Linked DNA regions of Notamacropus eugenii. The protein of the gene in region 3 interacts with the protein of the main gene of each other region in a biochemical or structural test. Links are inferred from orthologs where the notes say so. Each region holds a gene or a part of one and is shown on either strand. Other genes may lie near its edges. The genes, in order: CLDN4, KIRREL1, TJP1 and CLDN7.

The links.
Region 1: the proteins of TJP1 (region 3) and CLDN4 form a complex in vitro, tested with the Homo sapiens proteins (2 studies listed by BioGRID and IntAct, with this or other methods). The link is inferred for Notamacropus eugenii from reciprocal best matches to the Homo sapiens genes TJP1 and CLDN4.
Region 2: the proteins of TJP1 (region 3) and KIRREL1 form a complex in vitro, tested with the Homo sapiens proteins (3 studies listed by BioGRID and IntAct, with this or other methods). The link is inferred for Notamacropus eugenii from reciprocal best matches to the Homo sapiens genes TJP1 and KIRREL1.
Region 4: the proteins of TJP1 (region 3) and CLDN7 form a complex in vitro, tested with the Homo sapiens proteins (2 studies listed by BioGRID and IntAct, with this or other methods). The link is inferred for Notamacropus eugenii from reciprocal best matches to the Homo sapiens genes TJP1 and CLDN7.

The regions. Positions count from the first base shown.
Region 1 is NC_092873.1:49,706,204-49,713,935, forward strand, and holds CLDN4 (claudin-4), read right to left. Parts: upstream 2,831-7,732; 5' UTR 2,610-2,830; coding exon 1,980-2,609; 3' UTR 521-1,979; downstream 1-520. UniProt on the Homo sapiens protein: Can associate with other claudins to regulate tight junction structural and functional strand dynamics.
Region 2 is NC_092873.1:382,289,119-382,296,240, reverse strand, and holds the start of KIRREL1 (kin of IRRE-like protein 1), read right to left. Parts: upstream 3,002-7,122; 5' UTR 2,848-3,001; coding exon 2,796-2,847; intron 1-2,795. UniProt on the Homo sapiens protein: Required for proper function of the glomerular filtration barrier. It is involved in the maintenance of a stable podocyte architecture with interdigitating foot processes connected by specialized cell-cell junctions, known as the slit diaphragm.
Region 3 is NC_092872.1:152,386,841-152,394,135, reverse strand, and holds the start of TJP1 (tight junction protein 1), read left to right. Parts: upstream 1-4,292; 5' UTR 4,293-4,381; coding exon 4,382-4,732; intron 4,733-7,295. UniProt on the Homo sapiens protein: TJP1, TJP2, and TJP3 are closely related scaffolding proteins that link tight junction (TJ) transmembrane proteins such as claudins, junctional adhesion molecules, and occludin to the actin cytoskeleton.
Region 4 is NC_092873.1:78,805,186-78,812,070, reverse strand, and holds the start of CLDN7 (claudin-7), read right to left. Parts: upstream 3,010-6,885; 5' UTR 2,329-3,009; coding exon 2,106-2,328; intron 1-2,105. UniProt on the Homo sapiens protein: Plays a major role in tight junction-specific obliteration of the intercellular space.

The DNA.
Region 1 (7,732 bases), on a different chromosome or scaffold from region 3:
CAGGCTATCTGAGGTCAATAGAAATCCTCAACTGCATACTTAAACCCCTGTCCCCCTCACCACGCCTACCCTCATTCCTACTTTTATTCTGTGACCTGTGGCCATACCTGACACACCTGGTCCTGTGATGTACCTAGCTACCATTCAGGTGCATGGAGAATAGGCCTGAAGGGACTTGACGGTTTCCAAGATCCCTTCAAGGTAAAACAAACAAACTTATGATTCTGTAACTCAATGAAGGTAGAATTTAAAGAGTTTGGCCCCAAGGATAATGGAACATGTGCCTAAAAGACACTGAGAGAGAGCCCATGTCCAGCAGGCTCTTTCCTAGGATACTTGGTACCCTAGACACCAATTCCAAATCTAGTTTATTTGGGTTATCCCAGACAGCTGAGATTCAGCTTGTCTCACTAGACCCCCAAGGCTCCCTCTCCTACCTCTTCCTCTCTCACCCTCAGCCCCTGGCCCTATTCCATCCCTTCCACCCTAAAATTGAAATCAGACAGCCAAGAGGCAATGCTTCCATGTACAGATCCAGTTTATTATAGAAAATAATAATTACAATTTATGGATTTATTTTTAATTACAAAATAGAAACATTGTCTTAGGCAGGAAGCTGCCAAAACCATGGGGGGAGGGGGAAAACAGAGAAATGCCCCTTCATCTGCACTCACTCCTCCCCAACCCACCCAAATCCTTTGGAGGAGTCAAGCCCTAGCTCCTCAGAATCATCTTCTCCAGGGCTCTGCCAAGCCCTGCTCCTCTCCCCACCCCCACCCCCCAGATTCTAAAGCTGAGTTGTGCTGAGGTGGGAGGGACTGAGTCACTTGAGGTTCTGGGGGAGGGGAATGCTGAGGAAAACCAGAGATTCTGGAAAGTCGCCTCCCCATTTGTTTGTCCTGAGAACTTTGCAAATGGGGAAATGGGAGAGAGCAGGGAGGAGACAATGTGAGCCATCTACCCCTCCTTGGACCTGCCTCATTTAGCCACCTCCCAAACCAGTTGGCCCACTTTGTGGCTCCTGTCACTAAGGAAGAGAAGGGAGAAGGGGTTGGGTCACCTGATTCCCTGCCTATTCAAGATGCTGAGTTTCAATGAGCCACTGGGGTGAGCGGGTGGGCTTCCTGTTTCCTTCAAGAGGGTCCCTTTTACTTCTAGAGGAAGCTATAGTACAAAAGGTGAACCCTCATAGACTAGGGGGAAAGGAGGAGATAAGGGAATCACAGAGGGTACATACAGGGTTGGAAATAGGTTTGAGGATGTGCCCATTTGAGACACACACACACTCCAGGAGGGAGGGGGGGGAGAACCAGCCAGAACTGACTCTGTGACATTGAGCCCCTGGGTAAAGGACTGAGCTAGCTCAGCCAGCTCAACCACAGTCCTAGTCTTTTCCTTCTCCTCTTCTAGGAGCACCCAGGCGAGGGGGGTGGGGGGGAGAAGGGGAAAGGGAGGGAACCTCAGCCAACTCCACCAATGGCTCTTCCTCTTTCTTCTTCTGGGAAACTGGAGGACCAGCTTCGGTCTCCCAGAAGGTCACAGCCCTCCTCCCACCTCCCAGACCACTCCCACTGTGTTTCTCAGAAGAGAAAGTTCTAGGTTTCCAAGTACCCCCAGAAGGAGATAAGTGAGGGTGTTTTTGAGAGAAGGGAGGGGCTGGAGAGGGTGCCCCAGCTAGAACAGGTGGCATCCCCCTGGCATTGTTTGCTCTTCTGATTCCAACAGGCACCAACCCAGCCTTACCCTCCCACCTCCCCAGACTCCTGGCATAGGGAAAGGTATGGGGCTTGGGCCAGGCTCTCTGTCCAGGCGAGAGTTCAGTCTCTTCCTAATGCTTGGGCCCAAACAGTCAGGGAGAATAGAAGAGAAAAGGATGCATCCAGCTAGGGCACAGGTAAGGAGGTGAGGGCAAGGAAGGACAACCACCAAAGGCCTCGCTGTCCCTCTTCCCCTTCTGTCCAATGTCCTCCCGATGCTCCCTACACGTAGTTGCTAGTAGGGGCAGAGCGAGCAGCAGTGTACTTAGCCGAGTAGGACTTCTCACTTCGGGGTGGGCAGTTGCAGCAGAGCAGAGCCCCTCCGAGCAGGAGCAGGCCTGAGGCAGCCCAGCCAATGTACAGAGAAGCACCCATCTCCCTCTTCTGTCCAGAGGCCACCAGTGGATTGTAGAAGTCCCGGATAACGTTGTGGGCGGTCCAGGAGGTGGGAATAATGACCAGGATGCCAGCCAGGATAAAGACCACACCAGCCACGATCATGGTCTTGGCCTTGGAGGTCTCATCTTCCACACAGTTGGTACACTTGCCACCCACCAGGGCCAGGAGGACGCCGAGCGCTGCGACGATGATGCAGATGACCACCAGAGCCCTAGCCGCCTGCAGGTCCTGGGGCAGGGCCAGCAACGAGTCGTACACCTTGCACTGCATCTGGCCAGTGCTCTGGACCACGCAGTTCATCCACAGACCCTCCCAGATAGTCTGGGCAGTCACGATGTTGCTGCCGATGAAGGCCGTCACCCGCCACATGGGCAGCGCGCAGGAGAGCATGGAAGCCAGCCAGCCCAGCACGGCCAGGGCAATGCCCATTATCTGGAGCCCCATGGACCCCATCCCCTCAGCCAGAGAGAGAGCCGAAAACCAAGAGAAGCAAGGGGCGCTGGAGCCGGGTGCTGGGAGGGGCTGGCGTGCAAGATCGAAGGTTCAAGTTCTCCAGAGAGGAAGTCAAGGAGACGGAGCTTGGAATGGGCACTGTCCAAGGCAAGGCAGATAAAGATAAGACCTTTCCTCTCCTAGCAGGTGCAACGGATGAAGCTTCCCGCCAGATGTTAGGGAGTTATAAGGCTTGAGGGCGTGGCAAGGGGAGGGGGGAAGGAGGAGGCGGGGTTTCGACCTGGGCCTCCACCTGACCAGTTTCTCTAGATTCCTCCCAGTCTAACGAGCGACAAAGACACTTTCAGGCCCCAGGTCAAGGCCCCCGGGAGGAGACTGGGGCCCTGACTCACCCAGCCTGACATCCTGGAGAGTGAGTCTCAGAGGAAACTGAACTCTCCCTTCAAAGTCTTAGGGTGCTGAGGTCAAATCAGAGACAGACAGGTCTGAGTCAGCTCCCCCCTCTCCCTCGGCCCCGCCCCATCAGGAGGGTGACTCCCCAAGGACAGGAGGGAGCCAGGGGCCCAAATCCCCGGGAGACGGGTCTGGGGGAACCTCAGTGCAGCTTCGCCCCTAGATCGAACACCTCTCTTCCACCTCGGGTGGGGAGGGGAGACCTGAGCGTTTGCTGTGGTGGGGTGTGGAAATCCTCCAGGGGAAGGAGGCTGCTACCCTTGCTGTCAGCCCGATTTTAAAAAGCAATAGCAAAGATAATTAGTCTTATCATCATTGCTGGCAGGATCTCATCAGCATCCTCCTAGCTGGCCTCAGCACTTACCCTGCACAATTTCATCCAGTAGAGCGAGGGGCTAGGTGTTCAGAATTGGATCCAGTCCCTTTAACCCATTAGTGGACCGCCGCCCCTCCCCCCAACCCTGTTGAAAATTTAATCACTCTGATTTTAATCCCTCTGATCCTCCATCCCCCTTTCTCTTCTTTAAGGAGAGGAGAGTCTAAAAGGTACTCCTTACTGAACTGGGGGTAAGGGTGTAGGACGAAGTCTCTTTCAGGAACATTTCCCATGTCCCCTGAGGATATTGACTGATCTATCCACAAATCTAAAAATGGTTGGAGGCCATCTTAGTACAACTCCTTTGTTTTACAGATGAGGAAACTGAGGCTCAAAAGAGAACACAGTTGGCCCGAGATGAGACAGACAGGAAGTAACAGAGCTGGAGAGACAGCATTGTGCCATAGAGAGTGTTGACATTAGAGTCAGAAGATCTGGGTTGTAATTCTAGCTCTATGAGGGGGGAGATTGGACCAGACTAACCATCTGGTGCTGCTCCTTATTGTCTGAGACACCTTGATCCAGGCTCTTAATCTCCCTGTGCCTCAGTTTCTTCATCTGTAAAATGATAGATTTGAACTGGATGTCTTGTAAGGTCTCTTCCAGATTTAAGTCTATAAGAAGACATTATAAACAGGATTCACAATGGTCCTTACCCCAAAGAGCTCTTGGTCTACAAAGGGGAAGTGGGTAATTACCCAAAGAACTAGATGAAGTAGGATAAGTAGTGATGAATGAAATAGTGATAAGTGCCTTCAAAGATACACAAACAGGTGTTAGGGGAAGTCAGTAAAAGAGAGAGATCTCCACTGGGGGGTGAGGATGGGGGAATCAGAGAAGGTTTTTCCTGTAGGAGGTGTCCTTGGAGCTGGACCCTGATGACTTTTGCTAGGAGGTGGAGAGGGAGGACCTCTTGGGAGAGGAGGCAGAAAAAACACCAAAGTAGGAACTAGAGGGGTGTGTCCCAGGCATAGGGAGGAGTCCATTGGAGAACAGGGTAAAGTGTGGGGGAGTTGGGTGAGATAAGGATGGTGCCAGCCTGGGTAATTTGGATTCCTCATTGCTTTAGGGAGATTAATCTGGAGGCAAGAGGAGGCTGGATTGGAGGAGGGAGAGATTAGTGGTTGGGAAACCAATTAGGAAGTTTCTGTAATAGGCCAGATGAGAGGTAATGAGGGCCTGGATGAAGGTGTTGGCAGTAGGAACAGAAAGGAAAGCAGAGAAGTGACAAACATTGGTAGAGGAAAAAAATAAACAGGTTTTGCTGCTGCCTGGTTGAACCAGTCAAGGAGTCAAGGAAGGGAGAAGGAAGGAAGGAAGGAAGGAAGGAAGGAAGGAAGGAAGGAAGGAAGGAAGGAAGGAAGGAAGGAAGGAAGGGAGGGAGGGAGGGAGGGAAGAAGAAATCAGGCATCCTCATGATGACCTCAGAGGAAAAGTTGTAGCTGTTGGGAGCTATGGTCAGACATATGGGGGCAAAAGAAAAAAGAGCCAATGGGCAGTTCCATGCAAATTCCTGCTAACCCCAGATAGAATTAAAACTCTCTGGGTGTGGGGACTTTTATTTTTATATCGGTATTCATAGGTCCTAGTAATAGTAGGCACCTAATAAGTACATGTTGACTGATTGCTGCTGAGGATGGGCCCCACCCTCCTAAGAGGAGTCCTCTGGCTTTCTCAGCTGCCTTCTCCCTGCCCTACCAGGAGTGGTACAGTAGGAAACGAGCTGATTTTGGAAAAGCTGGAATCTGGGTTCAAATCTTGCCTGTTGCTTACTATCTGTGACCTCAGGCAAGTAACATTACTTCTCAGGGCCTTGGTTTCACCATCTGTAAAATGAGAAGGTTGGACAAGCTAGCCTCCAAAGTCTTTTCCCAGTTCTAGGTCTGTGAATCTAGGGTCCTTCTCTGAAGATGTTTGCAGACCTTGGGGGTCAGGGGGAGGCAGTTCCCAGGAAGCAGATGATTAACTCAGTCTATCTCTGTACCAGCCAAACCTGCAACAACTATTTGGAAGAACCTGTTCTACCAAAGGAACCAGGGAGATAGAGCAAAGATGACTGTCGACGGACCTCCAGTCAAGCTGACCTAGACACACCCACTGGAGCCAGCTCCTGGGAACAGTACTATAGGGCATCCCCCCACCCTAGCAGAGCCTAAACTTCCCCTGTGAGATATCCCCAAAATTCCCCCAGCCCTGCCCACACTCCTTCACCTTTCCCAACTTCTAAAACCCTCTCTTCGTCCTACAAACCATGCCCCATGACCTGCCTCCCAAACCGCTAAAAGTCCTCTCTTCTCCCAACCAATAAAATCCCCAGATCTCAGAGCTGGTCATCTGGTTCTTAGCTCCTCCTCCCCAAACCCTCAGGGACCAATCTTCCTTCACAGAAACCCTCTTTCATGAAAGACCGCCTTCTAAAAAAATTTCACTTATTACTCCTCCCTCCAAAACTCCCCACAAAAAAAACCCTACCAACAAAAACACTCTCATGGTCTCACATCCAAAAATATACAAGAAATATATTAATAAAGCATGACCCAGTTGCAGCCCTTGGCAATCTCTCCAAATCCCTTCGACGGTCTCTCTCTTCACTGTCACTTTTTAAAGATGACCGTCCCTCTGTCCATGTATTTATTCATTCACTCCACACATGTTTTTGAGTGAATTTATTGAATTCATTCAACAGACATATTCAGAACTTAGTATGTGTCAGGAATTGTGCTGGTTAATGGGAATACAAATTTTAAAAACACAAAATAATAGAAACAAACCTTTCCCTCAAGGAAATTACATTCTACTCAAGAATAAATTTAAAAAAAAAAAAACCATATACCAAGTTTTAAAGAAAAAAAAGTACTAGGGAGGAGGGGCACTGGCAGCTGGACAGTCTCAGGACAGGACTGATATATAAGCCAATCCTTTGATGTGGACTCTTGAAGGAAGCCAGGAATTCCTGATCTAGAGTTGGAAGAGTCCTCAGGGGCCATCTGACTCACTGCCATAATTTTGCAGATGAGGTAATGGAGACCCAGGAAAGTAAGGTGACTTGACCCCAAGGTTTATAAGGGGCTAGGATCTAAATCTGGCTTCCTCACTCCCAAGCCAGTGTTCTTTCCCATGTACCTCTCTGCCTCCTACAAGCTGGAGGGGGGGAGGGAGTGCATTCCTTGCCTGCATTCCTGAAATCTAGTCTTCCTTACCAAGGGGGCCCATGCCATCCATCTGGTGCCCTTTCAGGGACCCGCACAGGAAACTCTCTCTTCTGGAGAAAGCATTTCACTGTGCACACACACTTGGTTTAGTCACCCTGGCTGCCTGGTTACTCCCTATGGTTATTGTCATTTCCTATCCCTCACAGTTCAGGTAATTACTACTACCCTCCTTCAGGAAGAAAGTCCTTTCCTCTTTTCTCTTTCTCTTCTCCTTGGTCCTAAAGATTATCTCTTTTCATAAGATCACAGACTTTGAGATGGAATGGACCTTAGATGTCACCTCCAGAGGCTTTTAACTTGGGATCTGTGAATTTTTTAAAAAATGTTTTAATAATTCTATTTCAACATAATTAGTTTTCTTGGTTATCTTATGTGTTTTGTTTGATGAATCTGAAAACAGGATTCTGAGAAGGAATTCATAGATACTACCAAACAGGACCATGATCCAGAAAAGGTAAAGAACTCTGTTGAATCTAATCCAATCCTTTATTTTCAAATGAGCCAACTGTGGCCCAAAGTCACACATCTAGTAAGTGACAAAGGCAGGAGCTAAAACCAGACCCTTTGACTTCAAATCTAGTCTTCTTGTTGCATGATGCCATGCTGCCTCTGGATACAAGTAGCCTGAATGTTTGCACCTTCTTCCCATCTTACCCCTCTCCTTCAGTACAATCACACCAAACTTTAGGCTATCCTGAGACCTGTCTCTTGACCTTAGTGCCCCAACCTCTGGTCATGACATCTCTCCCCTCCCAACCCTAGCCCTTAGCTCCCTACATTTCCCCCACTCAGTTTCTGTATTTGAAAGCCAACTCTCTATGGGTTTCAAAAACTTTCTGTCTTTCTATTTTCTTTTCTTTCTTCCTTTCTTAATTTTTCCTCCTTTCCTTCCTTCTTCCTTTCTCTCTCATTCATTGATTCATTCATTCAATTGCAACCTTGAAAATAGGGCTTAATTTATGAAATATCATGACTCTATACTTATTCAAATAAAGGCTCAGTGGCCTTTAGTGGCCTCAGTGGCCACTTAGCCATTATTGATCATTTTCTTTTCAAGTCATCAAAACTCAGATAAGGATTTT
Region 2 (7,122 bases), on a different chromosome or scaffold from region 3:
AGCATAACACATTTATATGGTGTTGTCTTTGCCTCCTGTTTGGGGGTAGTAGTGGGGGAGGCCACACACACAGAAACACACACACACACACCTTCCAGGGAGGTGGGGAGAGAGAGAGAGAGAGCGGGAGAGGGGAAGAGAGAGAGAGAGGGAGGGGGGAGAGAGGGAGAGAGAGAGAGAGAAAGAGAGAGAGAGAGGAGAGAGAGGGAGAGAGAGAAAGGGGGGGGGAGAGAGAGAGAGAGAGAGAGAGGGAGGGGGGAGAGAGGGAGAGAGAGAAAGAGAGAGGGAGAGGGGGAGAGACAGAGACAGAGAGAGAGAGGGAGAGGGAGAGGGAGAGGGAGAGAGAGAGAGAGAGAGAGAGACAGAGAGAGAGAGGGAGAGGGAGAGGGGGCGAGAGACAGAGACAGAGGGAGAGAGGGAGAGGGAGAGGGAGAGGGAGAGGGAGAGAGAGAGAGAGAGAGAGAGAGAGAGAGAGAGAGAGAGAGAGAGAGAGAGAGAGCGGGAGAGGGGAAGAGAGAGAGAGAGAGGGAGGGGGGAGAGAGGGAGAGAGAGAGAGAGAAAGAGAGAGAGAGAGAGGGAGAGAGAGAGAGAGAGAGAGAATGTGCTTTTTCTTTTTCTGACCATTTCCGTCCTCGATGCAATCCACATGTCTCTCCTATTTGCAAGCTGTGCTTTTGTTCCTAGAGGCTCAGGCACATCCATATTGCTAGTATGTGTTGGGGGTGGGGGGGTCGGGAAGAGGGGGATGGACATGGTACATAAACCCCTCCCCCACAACCCCTATGCACAGACCCAAGCAGCCATTCCTCCCCCAATCTGTCCCCTCCCTCTTCAGCAGCCTGGCTGAGCAAAGTCAGAACTTAAGTCATCTTTCCAACTTTTTGCTAACTGGCCAGGCTGGGTCCTGGCTCTGGCCTCGGTCCCCCTCTCCTCCTCAGAACCAGCCCCACCCCCACCCATGTGCTCCCTCTCCCCTCTAGGGGAGTGGGGTGGGGAAAGAGGAACCAAAGCCCTTTGGAAGGAGAACCAGGAATCAGGCCTCCCCCAGCCCAACCCTAGCCAATTTTTGTTTTCAGAATTAGGAAGGAGGAACGCTCAGCTCCACAAACATATAAATGCTCGTATAAGCAACTCAGTGGGCAGAGCAAACCCCCAATCCAGCATCCTAGCCTAGAGACTACCTTCACCTCCTCCCCCAACTCCATCACCAGAAATAAATAAATAAATAAAAGATCATCCCCTCCATTTTGCACTGTGAGTATTACATGTCTCTTGTAGGTTATATGCATGTATGTCTATAGGTCTGAATCTCTTTGTCTCTCTCTCTCTCTCTTAAGGGGGTATCCATAGATGCCTCTCCGTATATATGTGTAAGCCTGTATCTGTTGATGTGTTTATTTGTATCTATTTCATGGAGTATATGTGGCTTGGGAGGGAGAATCAGAATGTGACTATGTATTGGTATGGATGAGTTAGTGCGTGGGTATCTGTGTATACGTGTAGCTGTGTGTCTATGTGTATCTCACAATGTGTCTATGCCACTCTATGTAGGTCTATGTCTTAAGTTCATGTGTCATTCTTTATTGCAGTCTAGCCTGGTGGATCTATTTATCTTGGTAGGACTCTGTATCTGTTTCTTAGTGCATGTGTCTGTCTGCTCGACTGAGTATGTGTCTCAGTGTCTATGTGTGTGACTCATTGTCTGTCTCAGTGTGTCCAAATCTGTGTGTCTGTTTTGTCCCCTACAACCAGATCCATCAGGCCAGGTCCCCTACTCCACAGGTCTTTGTCCCAGTTACTGATTCTACCTGAAGAAGGGTCACTATGACACCCTTCCCCTCTTCCTACATCCAACCCTTATGACCAGAGAATCGACAGAAGTCAGAAGCATCTTCCTCTGCCCTCTAGTGAGGACCACAGACTCCAGGGTAACCCCCGTAAGCTCTCACTCATTTTCTAAGTCAGGTTTAAGCAAACTGAAGCCACCAACACACCCTGGAACCCCAAAATTGGGGGGGGGGGAATGCTGGCAACCCCTTCCCACCAAAATAAATAAATACCCAATTTCTGTGCCAGAGATATTAACCAGAGTTTCTTCAACAACTCGCCCCACCATGTTGAAGCCAGCTCTGGGGCTGTGGCTACGGATTCTCCTTACCTCCATTCTTATCCTCACCCCCAGGGCCCCAGCTGGAGTAGGGAGAGGGCAGCTCTACATTTAAGGGGGTTTTCAGAGTTAATTACCCCCACAAAGGGCAAGACCCCTCCCATACTCTAATATCCCAGGCATCAGAAAATCCTAGCGCCTTTAGCAAGGACCCAGGCATCCAAGATTTTGGCCATATTCAGGACCAGTTTCCAGGTTGTTAGAGTGTAAGTCCCCCGACCCTGGGGGATGTAGGGATCACTTTGTCCTACTGCTCTTTACTCCCACCCATCATCCCCAAACCCTCTGGTCCTCCGGGCCCCATCGCTCTGCATAGGCACAGAAAGCAACTTGGAGAAATCAAAAGGAAAACTCATCCCTTCCCTCTGCACTCCGCTCGCCCCCTCCCCGGATTCTCCACGACCTCCACCTCCTTGCCCACCTCGTGGCCTCCCCTTTCCCACCGCCACCTCCATCCCCAAGCTGGGCAAAGTGGGGAGAGTGTAACCCGACTACTTCCCCATCGTTCCCGCGAACCCCTTCTTGTGTTCAGCCCCTAGCCCCCAGCAGGAGGATCTGGTCAGGGGGTTCGGAGGCGTAGGGCCAGGGGACTAGGGATCGAGTGTGGTGGGGAATCGGGGGTCCTTACCTTGGGAGAAAGTGTCGGAGAGAGTGAGGAGCCAGACAAGGAGGCTCAGCATGCTGTCCGTCCGCCGTCTGCCCGCCCGCCCGCCCGCGGCTGGGGCCCGGAGTTGGCGAGTGAGAGAGGGACAGAGAGAGGAGAGGGCTGGGGGGAGGAGGGGGAGCCCTGGGGCCCGCCCCCCGCCCGCCCCCCGCCCCCTCCACACACACACACACACACACACACACACACACACACACACACACACACACACACTTCCCTCTCAGTCTTCTCTCTCTCTCTCTCTCTCTCTCTCTCTCTCTCTCTCTCTCTCTCTCTCTCTCTCTCTCTCTCTCTCTCTCTCTCTCTCTCTCTCCCTTCTCCTCTCTAATCTCCCTTTCTGTCTGACTTTGTCTCTTGATATCTCTGTCTCGCTGAGTCTCTTTCTCTTTCCCTCTCTTTCCTCTTCCCCTCCCTCCTTCCCTCTTCCTGACGTCTACTTTTCCTCCGACGGTACCTCCCACATTACCCTCCTTCTTCCCTCCCCTTCAAAAAGAAAAAAAAAACCACCAAAACCCTACAACCTCGCAGAAACAGGGATTGAGGGAGAGAGAGCGCGCGAGAGAAAAAGGGAGCGAAAGAAGGAGAAAGAAAAGGAGAAGGTGGAACCATTGCAGGCGCTGGGCGGGGGTAGGGTGGGGTGCGGACCCTTCCCCCTAGGCACTCCGGGTATCTTGGGGCTCCTAGGAGGGGGTTGAGAGGGTTCCAGAGAAGGCATCTGGATTGCCAGTTCTTCCTGGAGTGGGGCAGGGAGAGTCTAGACTGTGAATGTGATAAGAGGAAGAAAATTCTTTAAAGGAGTTGGGAAGCTTGGGAATACTTTCCCACCCCATCCCTGCTCGAAACCTCTGGGGAAAAGAAGAACCCTGGAGGCCAGATTTCCATTTCCAAATAAATGCTCTTGAAAGCTAGGGCGTATGCGTCCCCTCTCCCTAATTCCCATACCCAAAGATAACGGGGCTCAGATCCGAATACAAGCGTCTTCCTGTCCCAAGCTCAAGGGGCTGCTTCACCCCGGTCAGCTGCATTGCAGAGCAAGTTAAATGTTGTTGGTGCCACCAGGACGAGGAAAAGTGGCACCCAGTTAAGAGGTGACCCTTACCTTCGGACACCCTTTCCTTTCTTCTGCTGATCTCTTACTCCAGCCTTTCCCTAAGAGAAGCAAACTAGAACATTTTTTTAAAAAGCCGAGCATGAATGGCCTTTTATGATGAATACGAGAGAATGCTCGGATCTCTAAGCACCCATGAATCTGGGACGCCTTCAGAGCTGAGATACAGAAACTGGGAAGGGAGGGGATTCCCAGAAAGAGAGGGAGCTGCGCTCCAGGACCCAGGCACCCAGTGCCCTCTTTCTATCACGAACCATGTGACACTATCCGCCTTTCTCTCCCCATCCCCCTGCTCAACTCACAGCCCCGTGCGCTAGCAGAGAGAGAGGCTCCCGGGCACCCCGGACGCCTGAGTTCCAAGGATCTCCAGACGGAGAAGGGCAGAAGCGAAGTGGGGGAGGCGGGAGGACGGAGGGGAGAAGTCTCAGAGATTGCATAACTTTGCAAATGCTGATGTGATCCAGAGAGGCGTAGGCCTCCTTTCTTCCCCTGTTTCCAGCACTCCAAGCCCCCAACCCCTACCCTGGCCTCATCTTTTCAATCCAAGTGCTTTTAGGAATGGCAGTCCGCTTTTCCGTTCATACGAGTGGCTATCGGCTGCCCTCTGCTGATCGATGGTCGCCACTGCCTCTGGTTCACCTCCAGGCCCATCACTATCCCCTGGGCCTCATGTTCATTTCCCCACAGAACCAGAATCGTGCCTTCTTCCTCCCAGCCCAGAAAAGGAGCATTGAGGTGGAGGTGGGGGCCGAGAGGAGTCACATTATTTTCAGTAAGTTATGAAAGTGTCCAGGAGAGGATTGGGCAGAAGTCCCCCAGTTAAGGTCCACTAACTTGGTTTATGGTTTTAATATTAGCCCCAAATTCATTCATTCCTTATGAGAGATCTAAGGATGGTACATGTCACACATTTCCCACCCTGAAAACAAATTAGGGAGATTTCTCTAGCTTGCTACTAATAGCTAAAGCAGTTTACCTCTTCTCTTGCACACCCCACCATCAACCCCTGCCCCTTTCCTCCAGTGTCCTCCCACCCTAACCACTCTCTTACAGCACCACTCTAGATCCAGTGTCATTCTCCTTGATTTCAACACTTCTTTGCTTTCTCTCACAGTATGCATTTATCCTCACTCTCTCTAGCCAACCGGGCTGAAGACATGATAAGTAAGCAAATCCAGTTTTCCATCCCTCATGAACACCTAGTGGTTGAACCATTGGGGTTCCCTTCCTTCCTTTCTCCACTTCAAGCTTTCTTCCCTGGTTCTTCTCAAATCTTACCTATACTTTCCTCTCTTACTAATCTTTCCCTACCCCTTGGGAAAAAACAAACCCCTATCCACTCTTGAAGTACTGGTGTTTTTTTTAGAGTTCTGGCTTACTGAATTATCTGTCCTGTCCCTAAGCCCTAGGACTACATCCTGTGTTCCCCATCACATTGAGAGCTTCCTAGGGGGTAGGGTCATATCTTCCTCCTGAATGTCCTTCTCCAACACCCAGAACAGAAGTATATTGAATAGTGGAATATGGTATTGATAGAGACTGGATAAGTGAATTCTAAGGACCCACTCACTACTCCTGCATAAAAAGAGAGGCAGCAGCATGGTGTATAGAGTCAAGACAAATATTAAGACATTTTTTTGAGTACAAAAGGAACAAGAGGTCAGGGAGGAACCTGGCTGGGCAATTTATGACCATCAGTGGGAGAAGTCATTGCAAGAGATGGGAATGAATTCTTTTTCTTGATGTAGGCTGATGTGGGCAAAACAATCCTATAAATTGTCCTCTTTCCTCCACAAAGACACCAGAGGATCATGTCCCTGCTGACTGTGGAAGAGGGAGGAGGGAAAGATGGGATGCAATCTAGATTTTCAGCTCAGGAGGGAGTCAGGGATACAAGGACTTTAGGTCCTGGAGATTGACAGTGTACATTTTATCCATCCTCCTCCCTCTGGGCAAGGCTTCCAGGGACTCCAGTCTAGAGTAGAGAGGGATTCACCTGCATTATCTTTGGGAAAGGGACATCCCTGTTCCCCCCTCTGTCATTTTCGCATCTCACAGCTCTGACTGCTCAGAAGTCCTTACTACTCTCCCATATCAGTCCTCCCTAATGCAATGCTAATAATGTATTTCTCTTGAAACTGCCCTTTCCAAAGAGCCTAGCATTTGACATGCCCCAGGAGGAAGATAGAGATTAGGAGACACCTCTCAATGGTGTCAAAGTCCCATAGGACTTTCAAGGAACTAGCAATGAATGTACTTTTATAGGGAGAAGGGAAAGGAACAGTAGGCTGACCCTACCACATCCCCACCTCCCTGGATACTCCACCTAATACATTGGCCTAACTTGCTTGGTGGAGAGGTGCCCTGCTTTTCAAAGGAAGGAAAGAGAGATGGTTCTGATCTGGGGAAAGTTCCACCTGGCAAGGCTGCAAGTTGAGTGTCACCCTACTTTCTCCTCCAGCCTGAAAAGTGAAGGCTCTCCTAGCTATGCTCAAAATCTCACTGAAGGGTCAGCTGCCCCAGTGATAACACCCAGAACAACATCCATCCAGCTCCTTGCGTCTTCAAGGTTGAAAGGAACAATCCCAAGGAAGTCTTAGCTCCTTTAACCTTAAGGTCTGGATAAAGATTTCAATACATGCCAGTTATTGTCACCCCAGAACTGGGAACCACTACTGTTCTCTGCCTTCCATAGATGAAGAGGTCTGGGAACAAGAAGGGATGGGAGCTAGACTGGGAATACTGGGATAAGGCTGTTATTGACAGAGGGCAGGGATCTTTTTTTGCAGCAGAATTTTTGCAGAAGGTTAGAACTTAGAGGGGGAGGTCTTACTACTGGGCAGAAGATTCTAGATAAGAAGAGCAAAGGAGTCCTGGAGATCTAGAAAGTAGTATTTGACTTGGCCGAGATGAGGAGGAAGGCTGTAGTGGAGTGGTATGAGCCTTGGAGTGAAAGGACCTCTGTGACCCCTGGCTGGCTCCACCTTTCTGAGCCTGAGGTTCTCATCTGGGAAATGAGGAGGTCGAATCAAGTGCCCTCTGAGCTCCACCTCTGGCTTTCCAAGACTCAGATGATCTACCTCCTACAGATGATCTGCCAGGAGTCTGGTGTGTTTAGTAGCAAGGGACTGAAGGCACTTTAGAGATAAGTTCACCTGGGGAATTGAGAACTCATATTACTAC
Region 3 (7,295 bases):
TTTGATTGAATTAAACAAAAACATTTTTAAAACCTTCAGCTTCAAGGAGTGTTTTTCAGTCTGTTGATGTTAATATATGGACCTATAAATGTTACTTTTCATAGTCTAGTTCTAACTGTATGTTGGGATAGGGCATGTAGGTGAATGAACAATGAAAAAAAATTTCTTTTTAGCACATTTTATGTGCAGGCCCTGTGCTAAGGGTTTGGGGATGCCAACACCAACGTGCTAACATTTATATAGCACTTTAAGGCTTGCAAAGTACTTTACAAATATTGTCTCATTTTATCTTCACAATTCTGGGAGGGTAATGCTATTTATTTTTCCCATCTTACAGATGAAGAAATTGATTCCTCTAGAGGTTAAGTGATTTGCTTAGGGTCACAGAGCTAATATGCTGGCCTTCCTGACTATAGGTCCAGCGCTATCTATGGGGACACTAGCTAGGGATCTACAAAATACTAGTGTCAGGCTGTTAGGGAGTGTATATATGAGAGGGGTGGTCAAGAAAGGGAGTGTCTGAGAATTAATGAGATGGTGAGTTGATCAGTCAATTCATAGCCCACTCTAGGAATAATGTTAGTGTGATAATATCTGAGTTGATTACTGAATTTAGAGCCAGAGGTGAATGGATAGTAACAAATCTGAGCAGAAGGCTGGAGGGGAGATGAAGTATAATTGGATTTGGAAGTTTGGGCAGGACTAGATATAGTAGGCTAGCTGAGTTTGTGCTGCCCACTCACTAGTCAATATAGCTAGGCCTCAGAGTTGGAATTCCAAAGATAAGCGAATAAATTTCCTGTGGGCCAGGGGAAATTTTTTTTCTGGATGTCTAGTCCAGATGTACTGATCCAAATGGAGAGAAATACTAGAAGAGAAGATGACAAGATGGATAAGGGTGGGAGGCTAGAAGGGATGTGAAGCATGGTCCATGATAGTGTACAACATTTTATCATATTTTCCATGGAAATTGCTCTCCAAATTTCCTTACAGATGCTTTGTAACTGTAAGGTACCATAGCTGCCATGCTTTTTCCCACTTCTGGGCATGAAAACCACTGTACTTTGGGTCATTAGGACCTAAAGAATGTCCAGCACCTTAGAGAGTTCACTCCCTACTTTTAGTTAATTTCCAAGTCATATAGAAGACATCACCATGATATCTGTTGAACCATTATTTTTTCTATTGCCATTGTCCCCATCCCTTATTTCACGCCCTCACTACTATTAGTAGAATGTAAATTCCTTGAGGGCAGGGAATGTTTGTTAATCTTTTCTTTGCCTCCCTAGCACCTGGTACTGTGCCTAGTACTTAGTAATTGCTGAATAAATCCTTATTTGAATTGAAATCCCCCCCCCTCCCCCCCCCCCCCCGACTATTGCAGAAATGGCCTCTTAACTAGTCTCTTTTCCCTCTGCTACATTCTACTAATTGTTGAGAGATTAATATCCCTAAAGCACAATTTAGGTTCTTGCTCAAAAAATTTTAATGGCTCCCTATGGTCTATAGGCTAAAGCTCAAACTCCTCAACCTGGCATTCAAGGCTCTCCAGTATCATTCCAGCCTTGCCTTCCACTATTCCTTAAATAAAGCAGCTAAGAGATAATTGTTTCCTGAACCTGCTCCTTCCTACCCTTTCCAGTTACTTGGTTCTTATTGTTCTCTTTGCTTGGAATGCTTCACTCCCCCTCCCCCATCTCTTTAAGATCTAGATTAAATGTACCGCCTCTTTCATGAAGCATCTCCTAATTCCTCCAGTTCGATATTATCTTACCTTCTCTTATTCCAAACCCCATAGCACTTGACATACTCTGTTTTGCACTCTTTTTATTTGCATATTTGCCTTATCTGCGTCCCTGCTCCCCCAACTCATCTTCATGGGCCACCTCAAAGCACAGTTCCTTATACACAGGAGGCACTCAGTCAGTCAGTCAATAAATGTTTATTAAGTGCCTCCTGTGCTAGGCACTTGCACTAACTGCTGGGAATACACAGAAAGGGCAAAAGGCCTGCCCTAGGAGCTCACAATTTAATAACTAAAGAAATATGTACGAATAAGATATTGACCAGACAAATGAGTAATTAAGAGAGGAAAAATACTAGAAGTTTCCTGTAGAAGATGGGATTTTAGTTGGGACTTAAAGGAAGAGAAGAGGAGGGAGAGCATTCCAGGCATGGGGGACAGTCACAGAAAATTCAGACCTGAGAGATGGAGAGTCTTTCTTCTGGAACAGCAGGGAGGCCAGGGTATGGGATTGAAGAGTATGTGTTGGGAGAAATAGGGAGGAATCCTGGAAGCATAGGGAGCTACCCAGTTGGGGGCTGATATGGTCAGACCTACCCTTTGGTAAAATCATTTTGGTAACATTGGAGGATGGACCAGAGTGGGGAGAGACTTGAGGCAGGCTGACTTACTAGCAGGTTATAGCAATAGTCCAGGAGTGAGATGATAATGGACTGCACCAGAGTGGTTGCAGTGTTGGAAGAGACAAGGTGGCCTGATGGAGGTGTGTTGCAAAGATGAAACTGACAAGCCTTGGCAACAGACTGAATACTGGATACTATTCATGAAATGTGTATTATTTTTCTGTAGCCTTGCCATTATAACAGAACTGTAAACAAAACTTATTTCACTGTGCTCCTTATAAACCCCCATCTATCTTGTTTTCTATCCCTTCTCCCCAATAAATGATTTTCCTTTACTGTCACCAGCATGAATTATATTGTCATTAGCATGAGTTATATATACATGGGAAAAGCTCCTATTGGGAAAAGCTGTGGGAACCTTCAATGGAATTCTGCTCTTTATTGGTCTTGGAACTATGAGATCAGTTTTGGAGCTGGAAATGACTTCAGGGGTCATTTAGTCCAATCTTCGCATTTTTTCAGTTGAGGAGACAAGGAGAGGTTGAATTGACTTCGACTTATTAGAGTTTGCCTCCTTATGGCAAAATTAGTTGCAAAGAGGTGTCAGGTTTGATATACAGAAAAACTTCCTAACAAGTGGATCTGTTCTAAAGTGGAATGAACTGTCTTTCTAGGGAGCGTCAAGGTAAAATCTGAGGGACTACTTGTTTGGGTGTATTGTAAAGTACAGCATTCTTACACGTGGCCCCGCTATATCGGGGAGAAAAAGGAATTTTTCACTTTTAAACATGCAAACCCATGCACACTTTTGGTTAGTAGGGGAAAAATATGGGGATCCATTCCCCACCTAGAGAGTAAAGCCTCGAAGCTGGCTCCCTGTTTTGGTAGTGACCGGGGGGTGGGGTGGGGGTGGGGGTGAGACACGGCGGGGGGTGGTCTTGTGGTCCCTGCCTCCAGAGCCTTCTCGGACTGTCTGTATTTTGCTTAAACAAGAACAATAGCCCAGCTTCCAGGCGGGCGGTAGTTCCAAGTTCTGAGTACCTTGGACGAGCCCCAACTCTGCTTCCTTCCGTGCAGCCACATTCCTGAAGGGTTCCAGGCGTGCCTAGAACCCCGGGCTCCCCACGACTCTCCTTCGCTCTCCCCGCCCCCAGAAACGCCTCCGTGGCTCGGGCCCGAGGGCTGGGCATGCTCAGTAAGCAAGGGCAGATGTGAGCGCCGCTGGCCGGCCTGGGCTTCCTCGGCTCCGGCTTCTTGCGGCGCCCCAGTCCCTTTTCCTCCCGCCGGGGAGACTGTTGGAGCGGGGCTCGGGGGGCCCCTCCAGAGCCAGAGAAGGAGGTAACTCCCGGGGGCGTGCGGCCTGGGTCCGAATCTTCTCCGCCGCGGTCTCGGCTGGACGGGGCGTGAGCGACGAGGCCGGCCTTGCCCCAGCTGGCATGGCGCCGGTTGCCGGGAGAGACGGGTGGTAGCTGGGGCAGAGGAAGGAGCCCGGGGTCGCCCCGGCCCCGGCCGTCCCTCAGAACCCATCTCGGTTCCCGGCTTCCCCCGCCCGGGAGGCCCCGGGCCGAGCGGCCGCCGCCGAACGACTCCGGGACTTTTGTCCAAGTTGAATCCCCTCCCCCTGGGCCGGGCCTGCGCCGCCGGCCCCCGCCCCCGGGCCCGCTCGCTCGCTAGCTCCCGGGAGATGTTTATTTGGGCAGCGGCGTGAGAGGAGCGAGCGGCGGCGGCGGAGCTGGAGCTTCTGCCTTAGCGTGAGGAGCCTCGCCCGGCGCGGGAGAGACGCACAAAATGTCCGCCAGAGCCGCGGCTGCCAAGGTGAGAGGCCGTGGGGCCGGCGCGGGCGCGAGCGAGGCCGGGGTCGGGGCAGGGCCCGGAGCCCGGCCAGCGAGGGCGGGGGAGGCTCCCACGGCTCGCTCCCTTCTTCCCCCGTCGCCCACTGGCCGGCCGCGTCTGGGAGCGTCTCTGTGGGGGGCAGAGCCCCGGGCGGGACGAGGACCCGGCGGCGGCGGCCAGAATGTGGAGGTGCTGGCACGTCTTCACCGAAGGGACCTCCCACCTGTTGACTCTGGCGGGCTCGCGCCGGGATGGCCCCCCGACCCCCTCGGGCCGGCTCCTGCGGGGGCGCCGACCCCGCTATCCTCCCCCGACCCGGGGCCAGGTGAGCGGGGCGCCGGGCCGAGGCCCCGCCCCGGGAGTGGCCCGACTTTTAGCCCCGAGCCAGAGGGAGGGGCCCGGCCCGGGGCGGGGGGGCGACCGCGCGGGCCCCGCCGGACGGAGCCCTGTGACGACCCACCCGGGGATCGATCTTCCGGCCCAGGCGGAGGCGGCGGAGGAGAAGAAATACCGGCCGGGGGAGTCGGCGAAGGTGACAGGAGGGCAGGCTTGTTGGGTGGGGCCGCTGTGGGCGACGCCGAGGCAGGTGCATCCTCCGGGGGGCGGGAGGGGGAGCCGGGCGGGCCCCGCCGCGCTGGAAGCGCGTTCCGCTCCCCGGTGAAACCGGCTGGTTTCGGTCTGATGTCACCGATTGCGGTATGCGCTCCCTCGCTCGGCCGCGATAAGGCTCCGGACCGACCCGCCGGGACCGCCCTGGGCCAGCGAGCCGGCGCCGCCTCGGCCGCCGAGAGTTTCCCCGACTTAGCGCCTGCAGTTTTCACTTTAAAACTTGGCTGTGGCCGAGGGCCGAGCTCGGAGAGCCGAGCGTCTGTGTTAGGAAAGCCCTGCCCACGAGCGCTTCCCCTGCGGCTCTTTCCGTACGCTGTGTCTTGAGAAGTAAATGTAACTTTGACAAAGATTTCGAAACTCTAAAGTGAGTTTAGTAAGTTAATTCAGTTGGTTTCTGTGAGCGGCGCTGAAAGCTTCCCCTTTCTCCCTGCATTCGAAGCCCTGAGGCTTGAAACCAGTTAAGTTTTTCTTTATTGGAAGAGAACACATGTTCCTACATGGGGACTCCTTGGAGGCCGGCTGGCCTTCGCCCTGGACCTGCGGTTTGGAAAGTGTTATTTTGTAGCGAATACTGGTTACTAAAAAGAGCGAGCAGACTGACTTGGAAAGAAACGTGCGGACCACTTGATGAAGAATGTAACCCCCCCAGCTGCGCAACAGTGAAGTAGCATCTCAGAGCAGTTTGTCACTGAACTCCGAGTGCTTGGTTTACCTTTTCCTATCAGAAGGAGGAAAAAAATATTGTCCTTGACACAGAATACTACTTGTGAGCAGCGGAGAAGTAAACGGGAAATTAAATAATACTGGAATTTTTGTGGTAGATTTTCAGTAGTCTTAGACTAGGAAATGTTTTCTTTGGGAGAAGAGAATGAGGAATCCTTTTTCTTACGTTTGTGGTCTTTTTGTGGATATGATGTATCGAAAAATAGGGCTGAGTATGCTTATACTGCCTATATTCATGATGAACATTATAATTTGGTGAGGCCCCTTTTTTGCAAATACCGTGGAATATATGTAACTGATTTTGACCTTAGTTTCCCTAACCTTAACAATACTTACATTTACAATATCTTTTTGTTTGTTTATTTAAAAAATATGAACATACCTGTTAAGAGAAATACTTTAACAAAGATTTTATTGAGGTTTTCTTAGCACTGACCTCACCGGATTTTTGTGAGCATAAAATAAGATAATCTTATGTAGTCCTTTAAATGTTAGGTGGTATTATTATTATTGAGAAGCCTTCGTTTTAAGTTTTCTAGTACAGCATACTGAGCCTCAATCACTAGAGATTTGATGTACCGTTTCTGCAAATTCTGAATCAAGGGCTTTTTAAGATCCTTGACTCTTTTCTCTAATTTATTGGAAAGGTTTCAGTCTCTGGGGTATTTGGGGAGAAGAGGAAAGTGTATTATTTTATATTTGTTCCTTTTTATCTGGCACTGCAAACTTAATTTTGACCGTGGTTGTACTCAGTGCAGAATAGGAAAAACAATAAAGTGATACTCTTCATTACCAAAGAACTATTTGAGAACTGAAGATAAGGCGTACACATGGGAAATCCCTTTTAGTGGTTTGTTTATAACTCTTTAAATCACCAGAGACTGCAGAAGGAATCTTTTTGAAACTGGCATCCAGGTTTTTGAGCTCCTTTGCCCTAGAGGGAGCAGTGGAATTTAATTTGAAATTTGGGCATTAAATGTGCTTATAAAATTTTACTGTGTATTTTTAGGCACAGTTTTCCATATGTGTTGTTGGAGACTTTTCTTTTTCCTGTCATGAATGACAATAATAGTGCAAATTGTTGAAAAAAATCAAAACATAGTATTTTATACACACACACACACACACAATATGTACATATATCTACATCTAGCTTATCAAATGAGGTACAGCTCTATTTTAGCAATGGCACAGCACAGTTTCATAATTATGATGTGCCAGCTACTTATTCATAAGACACTGTTAAAGAGATGATTGACTTTTGTTCTTTTAGGTCTGGGTTTCTTTGTGAACAAATATAATGAGGTGGTTAAGATTTTCAATCAGTCAAGTAATTGAGGGTATACTATTAAAAATTCACCTTGTTTCTGAAAAAACTTCGATCAAAGTTCTTCAATTTATGTTCTATTAAGAAATCTAGAGTGTGAAAGCTAAACTTATCAATTATAAATTGGTAATACTACTTATGGTAATTGCTTTCCTTCTTGATCTCTGAATTTGCTAAGTTATGTGGTGGAACAGGGCTCATTAATGTGGGCTGAAAACTTTTGTTTCAAAGCTTTATATATTTTCATTTTGAAAACTCAGGCATAATGCAGGTTCTTTTTTAGGTTGCTTTTAAAAGTTGTTTAAGAAAGCCTTGTTTTGTTGTTGTTGTTTTTTTTTTTTACTACATACTGCTCATCAGTGAATTATAACACAGTAATTCTCTAAACAAACAAAAAAATAACCACACTGCTGTGTAAGTAATGAGATTGAAATTG
Region 4 (6,885 bases), on a different chromosome or scaffold from region 3:
TTTCCCTTAAAAAACCTCCCCACCCCAAACAGTCTCCAAATTCTGACAATTCTACTCCAATATTTTTCGCACCTAGTCTTCTTCATATACACTGCTACCACTGTAGGTTAGGCCCTTACCCTCTGACCTGGACAGTTTAATAATCTGTGTCCTCACTAGTCTATACTTGGAATCTTTCCCTTTCTCAAATCCATTTTTTATTCAGGTGCCAAGTTAATATTTTTCAGTGGCCCACTCGGATCACATTGTCTACTCAAAAATCATCAGTTTTTCTCTGTCCACACGGAATAAATTTCTGCTTCCAGTGCAAGGTTATCTGTAATATCTGACTCCAACCTTATTACACTAAATATACTCTAGTGGTCTGCCAAAGGGGACTGATTATTCATCCAGTTTTGTCCTCTCTTCTGTCTGACTACTCTTTTCTCTTCCTTGACTGGATTTGAGATGGAATCCCATTTCTACCTTCCTTTCCTTCAAGACCCCTCTTCAGTCCTGGCTCCAGAAGGTGTTCAAGTAAGCTCTCCCTATTCAGTAGCACTTTGTCCGTATCTCTTATTTGAATACCTATTGTCCGTTTTGTAACTGTGTTCATGCCTTCCCCTCACTGTTGGGTTGTAGTTAATTAACAGTACATATTTATAGTTTCTATAATGCTTACTGATTTAGAACTTTCCTCACAGCAACCACCCGAGGTTCCTAAAGGGCAAGATCTGTTGTATGTCTTTGTAGTTCTACTTCTTGGATCCACTATGAGACCTTATTACACCTAAGTAAGGCACTTTATCGAACAGAAGAAATACTTAGGAGGCCAAGGGCCTCATTTCTTCTCGGGATGCAAGTATCCCAGCTTCCTCTATACCGAGCAGTTGTCTTCCTTCCCCTCCCACTGACCCCTGTACCCTTCGGGAGTGGCTCATCTTTCAACCATCTCGCAAACCTAATCCTCATCCCTTACTTCAGTATCTAAACCACCAGTCCCAATTTCGTCCACATACTCAGGCCTGAGGAGAGGCCCCTCAACTCTCCCCTCATCCTGGGGCGAGCCAGCAGTAGCCTGATCCTTCTCTCTCCTCCATTCCTGCTTCCTCTTCCCGCACCTGAGCCTTCCTGTTCAGTCCCGGCCTCGCCCCGCCCGAGGAGCCTCGCCTCAGCTCATGGACAACGCCCGGGGCGCCCAAGTTTCGGTGAAACTGCCCGGGGGAGCGGCTTCGGGAAACAGAGATAGCCCCTCCAAAGACCCCGAAGCCCAACCTGGCTCAGGCTCCGAGTGCCGAACCTCCCTTTGACCTCCCTTCGGCCTTACTATCAGCAGCCTCGGGTGCTAGTTACTATAGCTAATCAGGGAGATAAGATTAGAGACTGTGGCTGCAGGCCCCGAGTCTCCCGGAGACTCGGGCATTCCGGCCCCCAGTTTTCCTGTTGCGCTCTAGTTTGCCGATGTCCCCTCAGGATTTCCCTCTGCCCCTACCCTTGTTGGGACGCAAAGAAACACAAGCACTCTCCATCCCTTCAGTCCTCAAACTTCTCACACTGCAAACCACCCTAATCCCTTCACTTTCTGGTCCCTCTCCTCTCAGTGGCCTCTAAGAGCCTTCACTTAATGGAGGAGAAAGAAAGACTGGAGGTGGATAGGTGAGGAGCTGGAGGGACATCTAACTCAAAGAAGTTTTATAGCGAGTGGGGCCAGATGAGGAGGGGAAAGGCGAGAAATCGGAAAGTGGAAGGGAGAGGGTCTTAAACTTTTCCCCTTCTGGTAAGCGCGCGTAATTTCGTTCCCTCCTTGAACACAGGATCTTCCCCCCCACCCAGGCCACCTAGGCTTCGTTAACTTCAGATATCCCCATCCCCACCTACCTCAGCTTTCTTCCCTCCTCCTCACCTCGACCTCCTTCACGTACATCCCAACTTCCCTCCAACTTCTCCCTCAACCAGAAAGACCTCAAGTGAGCCGTTAGCCTCTAGACCTCTAAACTTCTCCCATTGTGGCTCTCCCTCCGAGAACCTAGATCCCCTCCCCATTCACCCCCAGCACCTTCACTTCCCGCCCTTTCCTCCCACCATCTCCCGTCGGAACTCAAGTGACAGGTGCTCCCCAGCCTCACCAGACAGAGCGAGGACTGAGTCGTACATCTTGCAGCTGATGACGCCGGTGCTCTGGCTGACGCATTCCATCCATAGCCCCTTGTACATCGCCTGGGCAGTAATGATGTTGTCTCCAGCATAGGAGCTCATCTGCCACTGAGGGATCGCAGTGCAGGCTATCAATCCCACCAACCCCAGAGCGGCCAAGGCGAATCCCAACAGCTGAAGACCAGAGTTTGCCATCCTCCCCACCCCCCAAAAAAAGAAGATCCTACAATAAACGAAAAAAAGTCTTTGGGGCAACTTTTTACAAAGTACCCCTCACTCCCCTACTTGGCGGTGTTTTCTGAGAGAATCCTGAAAAAGTACTTCTATGGTCAGAGCCTTTACAATTTTATAATTATTTTCTCCTTTTGAACACCCTACAGTAAACAGAAGAGACTTCTCCCGGGGTGGGGCGGGGCAGATGGGGGACCCTAGGTGAGCAGGGTAGGTGGAAAGGCGGGACCAGGAGACAAAAAAAAAAAAAAAAAAAAAAAAAGGAGGTCGCCGCTCCCCTTCCCCCAGTCCCTAGGTCAGACAAAAGGAAAGGTACTCTAGGGTAGAAGGTAGAACTCCCCAATGCCCACGCTTTGTTTTTAGGGGCCTCCGGGGCGTTCTAGCGCTGCTGCCAACCCTACCCAAACAAAAGGTGAGCAAGCCTATCGGGCCAAACGGCAGAGGTTGGTCCCCGGGTCTCTAGAGACTTCCAACTAGAGTAGCTAGTTCAGTTCACCTGGCCGGTAAAAAAGCCCCCCCCCCCCCCCAAAGTTCCGTTCCCACAGCTGCCGCAGCCTTCAGTCAGTTGGAGTGGCTGCCGGGCTACAATTCAGTTCCAGAGCAATGCGGTCCAGAATGGCAGCTAAGCTCTAGGGTGGATGGGACAGGTGCAGCTAGAGCACCTGTTTATAAGACCCTGAGGGGGAAGGGGGAGGAGAGTGGAAGGGGAGAGGGACAGGGGCGTGGCCAAGAGGTACTGGAGAAGGTGACTTGACGTCACAGAAAGGGACAGTCATCTAGACCGGAAGTCCCCCAGACACACACCTGCACAGGTGAGACAGTGGAGTACGGAGTCTGGAACCCTGGGATGTGCCACTTCTCATCTGGAGGATCTGAAAGCAGGGAACAACCTGAGGGTCTCTGAGGCTCCTCAGGGAAGGGAGGACTTTTGACTACCTGAGATTTTCCTTCCCATTTTCCCTGAGTCACCTGTGGTCCCTCCACACACTGTCTGACCTCTCCTTCCTCTTCCCCTCCCCCACCCCCTTTCGTTTGGCTCTAAAGCCTAGTTCGGCCTCACCCAAGCAAATTGTCCCTGGACACCGGCGCCCCTGGTGCCACCCAGTGGGAAAGGGATGGAGAACCAGCTCCTCCTAGTGCAAGCAAGTCTACCTGTCCTGAACTCCTCCTTTCTGCTCTGCATTTCTCTGTCTGTCTATCCGGTATATAAAAGCTCATACTTATGGTATGCTCCTATCTCATACCCTACCTAGAGAAAGCTCCAAAATATCGATAGGGACCATGTTTTAGCTCAAATTTGCTTGGAGGAGGAAAGCTTGGTAGGTAGCAAGAGCGTGGCCCCTGGCTGGGGTTCAAATCCCAGCTCTGATCATTACTACCTGTATGACTTTGGATAAGCCACTTAACAACCCTTCTGGACTTTTGTTTCCTATCTGTAAAATGACCACATGGTCTCTTGAGTTTCCTTCCAGCTGCTAGACCTTTTAGTGCCTTGTAACAATCCTTTGTTCACAATAGGAACTTAATAAATAATTATGGTATTGCTTTCACTCCTCATTGCTCCCTTGCATCCCCTTCTTTCAGTCTCTACCCCATGTCAATTCTTTCTACTATAACCCCTTTTCCCCTCCCAAATATTCATTCCTATCTCTGGACTTCATCATAAGACCTTAACTCCTGTCATGTACATTCCATTCCCATCTCCCAGTGGTGGCCCCTGGCTCCATAATAATTTATCACATTTATGAAGAGCTCTTTCACTCTAACTTTCCCTTCCTCATCTCTCTCAGCATCTCTTTCCCCTATCTTCCTATCAATCTTTGTCTTCTATCTTTCCTGTCTGTATTTCTACCCCATATTACCCCTATTTCATATCTCTCCCCCTCTCTCCATCTTTTCCCTCTTATTCCCAATCTCTTGTTCATTTCTTTCTGTCTTATATCTCTCCCCAATTCCTCTCCATCTCTTCCTCATGTCTTGTTCCACTTCTTTCCCTTCATTTCCTATCTCTTTCTATCATTCTCCCCTCCTATATTCTCTATATAGTTTTCTCCCCAATCTCTCTTCATTTCTTTCCCCATTATCCTGCCTGTGATAACTTAGCCTTTCTCCATCTCTCTTCTATATTGTTTATTTTTCTTTCCATTGTTTCTTTAACCTAGATATCTTATACTTCTCTTTCCAGATCTCTTCCTATCCTCACTTTCTCCAATCTCATTCTTTCCATTTGTCTTCCCTTTTCTCTCATTTGTTTCCCTTCCTTTTATATCTGTCTTCTCCATCACTCTTCTTTCAGTTTCATTTTCAATTCAACATATACCTATTAAATTCCAAAGCATATTGCTGAAGATAAAACAATAAACATGAAACAGACCCACTTTCAAGGAGTTTACAATCTAATGGAGTGTAGGAGCATCAACATAATTATAAGAAGGATACATTAAATGAATTGGAAAAGTCCAGAGAAAGTGCTCTGAGAAATCTAAGGAGTTTCTTACTGGGAAGACTTCATGTGAGGTGAGTCCTGACCTGTGCTGGAAAGGGAGGGATCTCTTCAGATTGAGCAGCTTCTTTATTTTGGAAGTCCATTCAGACAATGGTTAAGTTGTACTGTAAAAGGACAGAAAATGTAAAGTATGATATGACTGTAAAGTTTGGGGTTGTAGAGGAACTTTAATACCAAGATAAGGAGTTTATACTTTATTCCTTGGACAGTGGAGAATTACCAAAGTTTTGGGGTATGAAAGAATGATCTGACTATGGTGGTACATCAAATTGGAGAAAGACCAATTGTGAGACTATTATGATAGCCTAAGCAAGAAAAGATAGAGTTTGACTGCAGTATAGAGGAAAAACATATGAAAGTAAAGAGATTTCAAAGACAGAATCAAGAGAATTTGGCAGCTGATTGGATATATAGCATATGGAAAAAGAAAACATCAGAAGTTATTCCAAGATTGCTAGTTTCTGAGTGACTATCCCTTTCTTTTCTCTTCTCCTCAGTCTTGCTATCCATATCTCTCTTTCCATCATTCTTTTATCTTTCTTTCCATTTCCATTTCACTCTTTTAATTTCTCTTCTCAGGTCTCTCTCTTACATCTCTCTATTCTATTTCTTTTCCCGTCTTTTTTGATAGCTCTCAGCCTCATGCTTTCTGTCTTCCCCATTTCTGTCCTTTTTCTTCCTGTCTCTCAATCATCTCTTCCTCCCATATCTATCTTTCTTTCTGTCTCTCTATTTCCCTTCTCATCTTCTTTTCTAATCTTTGCTAATCACCTCCCTCTTACTTTATCCTTCTCATTTCCTGTTCTGATCTTCATCCTTCACTTTCTCCCCTTTCTTTCAATCGTACCCTTTTTTGCCTTTTGTCTTCTGATCTTATTCTCTCCTGTGTCTCTAGTTATGACAAGAAAAGTCACTTCCTTAAAATTTTGAATGCCTAATTTTTAAGCCTTCCTTACATACAAAAGTTTCCACCTCTATCACAGACAAAGAATAACCAAGCTATCCTTGGACTGTGTAACCATCCTGATGATTGTTATTGGGAGCTGACTGACCCAACTTCTATTCTCAATACCTTTCTTTTCCCCTCTCAGGGGATCTATAGGATATTACACTTTGTCTTTTGCCAATTACAGTTCAATTAACTCCACATCCAAAATCTTTTCTCACACATATATGCTAAAATTCAAACGAGTCTGTGATCTTACCATATTCAAGAATGGCAATCCATCTAAGCCAGCCCATCTAGTGTGACTCTTCTCATAAATTTTTCATAGGGGGCCCCACCCTATATATTGGGGGTACTCTTTATTTTCTCTTGACAGTGCCTGGGCTCACATGGATTCAAAGAATCATAGATCCAGAGCTGGAGAAGACCTCAGGAGCCATCTAATCTAAGCCTCTTATTTTACAGTTGAAAAAGCTGATTAAGCATCTTTGTCAAAGTCACAGATATAGAAAGATGAGATTTGAACACAGGACCTCTGAATCCAAATCTAGACCTCTTTCCATTGCACTACATTACCATTTATGACCAGTGTACATTCTTTTTCAATCATACATTTCTTTGATAGCATCCTTTACTCTGACTCCTCTTATTTCCTTATTTGTTGTGTACTTCTCCATTTTGCTTTTAGTGATAATCCATTTTAATTCTTTAGAGACCGAAGTGTTTCATATATTGCAGCCATACAATAAGACTGGTAGAATAGTGATATTAGAAATCTAGACCTTTATTTCAGAGAGACAATTGTGTCATGAAAGGAGCTTTGCAACTTCCCATAGACAGTCCAGTTTACTTTCCTTCTTGTGGTTAATGCTGAGTCCTACCCACTGTCCATTTGTAGTGCCTATCCAAGGTATATGTACCAATCAATGAGGCTGTCAAACCAAATTGCATTTCTGGACCATAGATATTTTTGAGTGTTATGAATCACATTCAGGAGACTTTGATGATATGAGGTTTGAAGCAACCGGCATAATTTTGTACTCAAATAGGAACATCTGAGGGTCCTCAT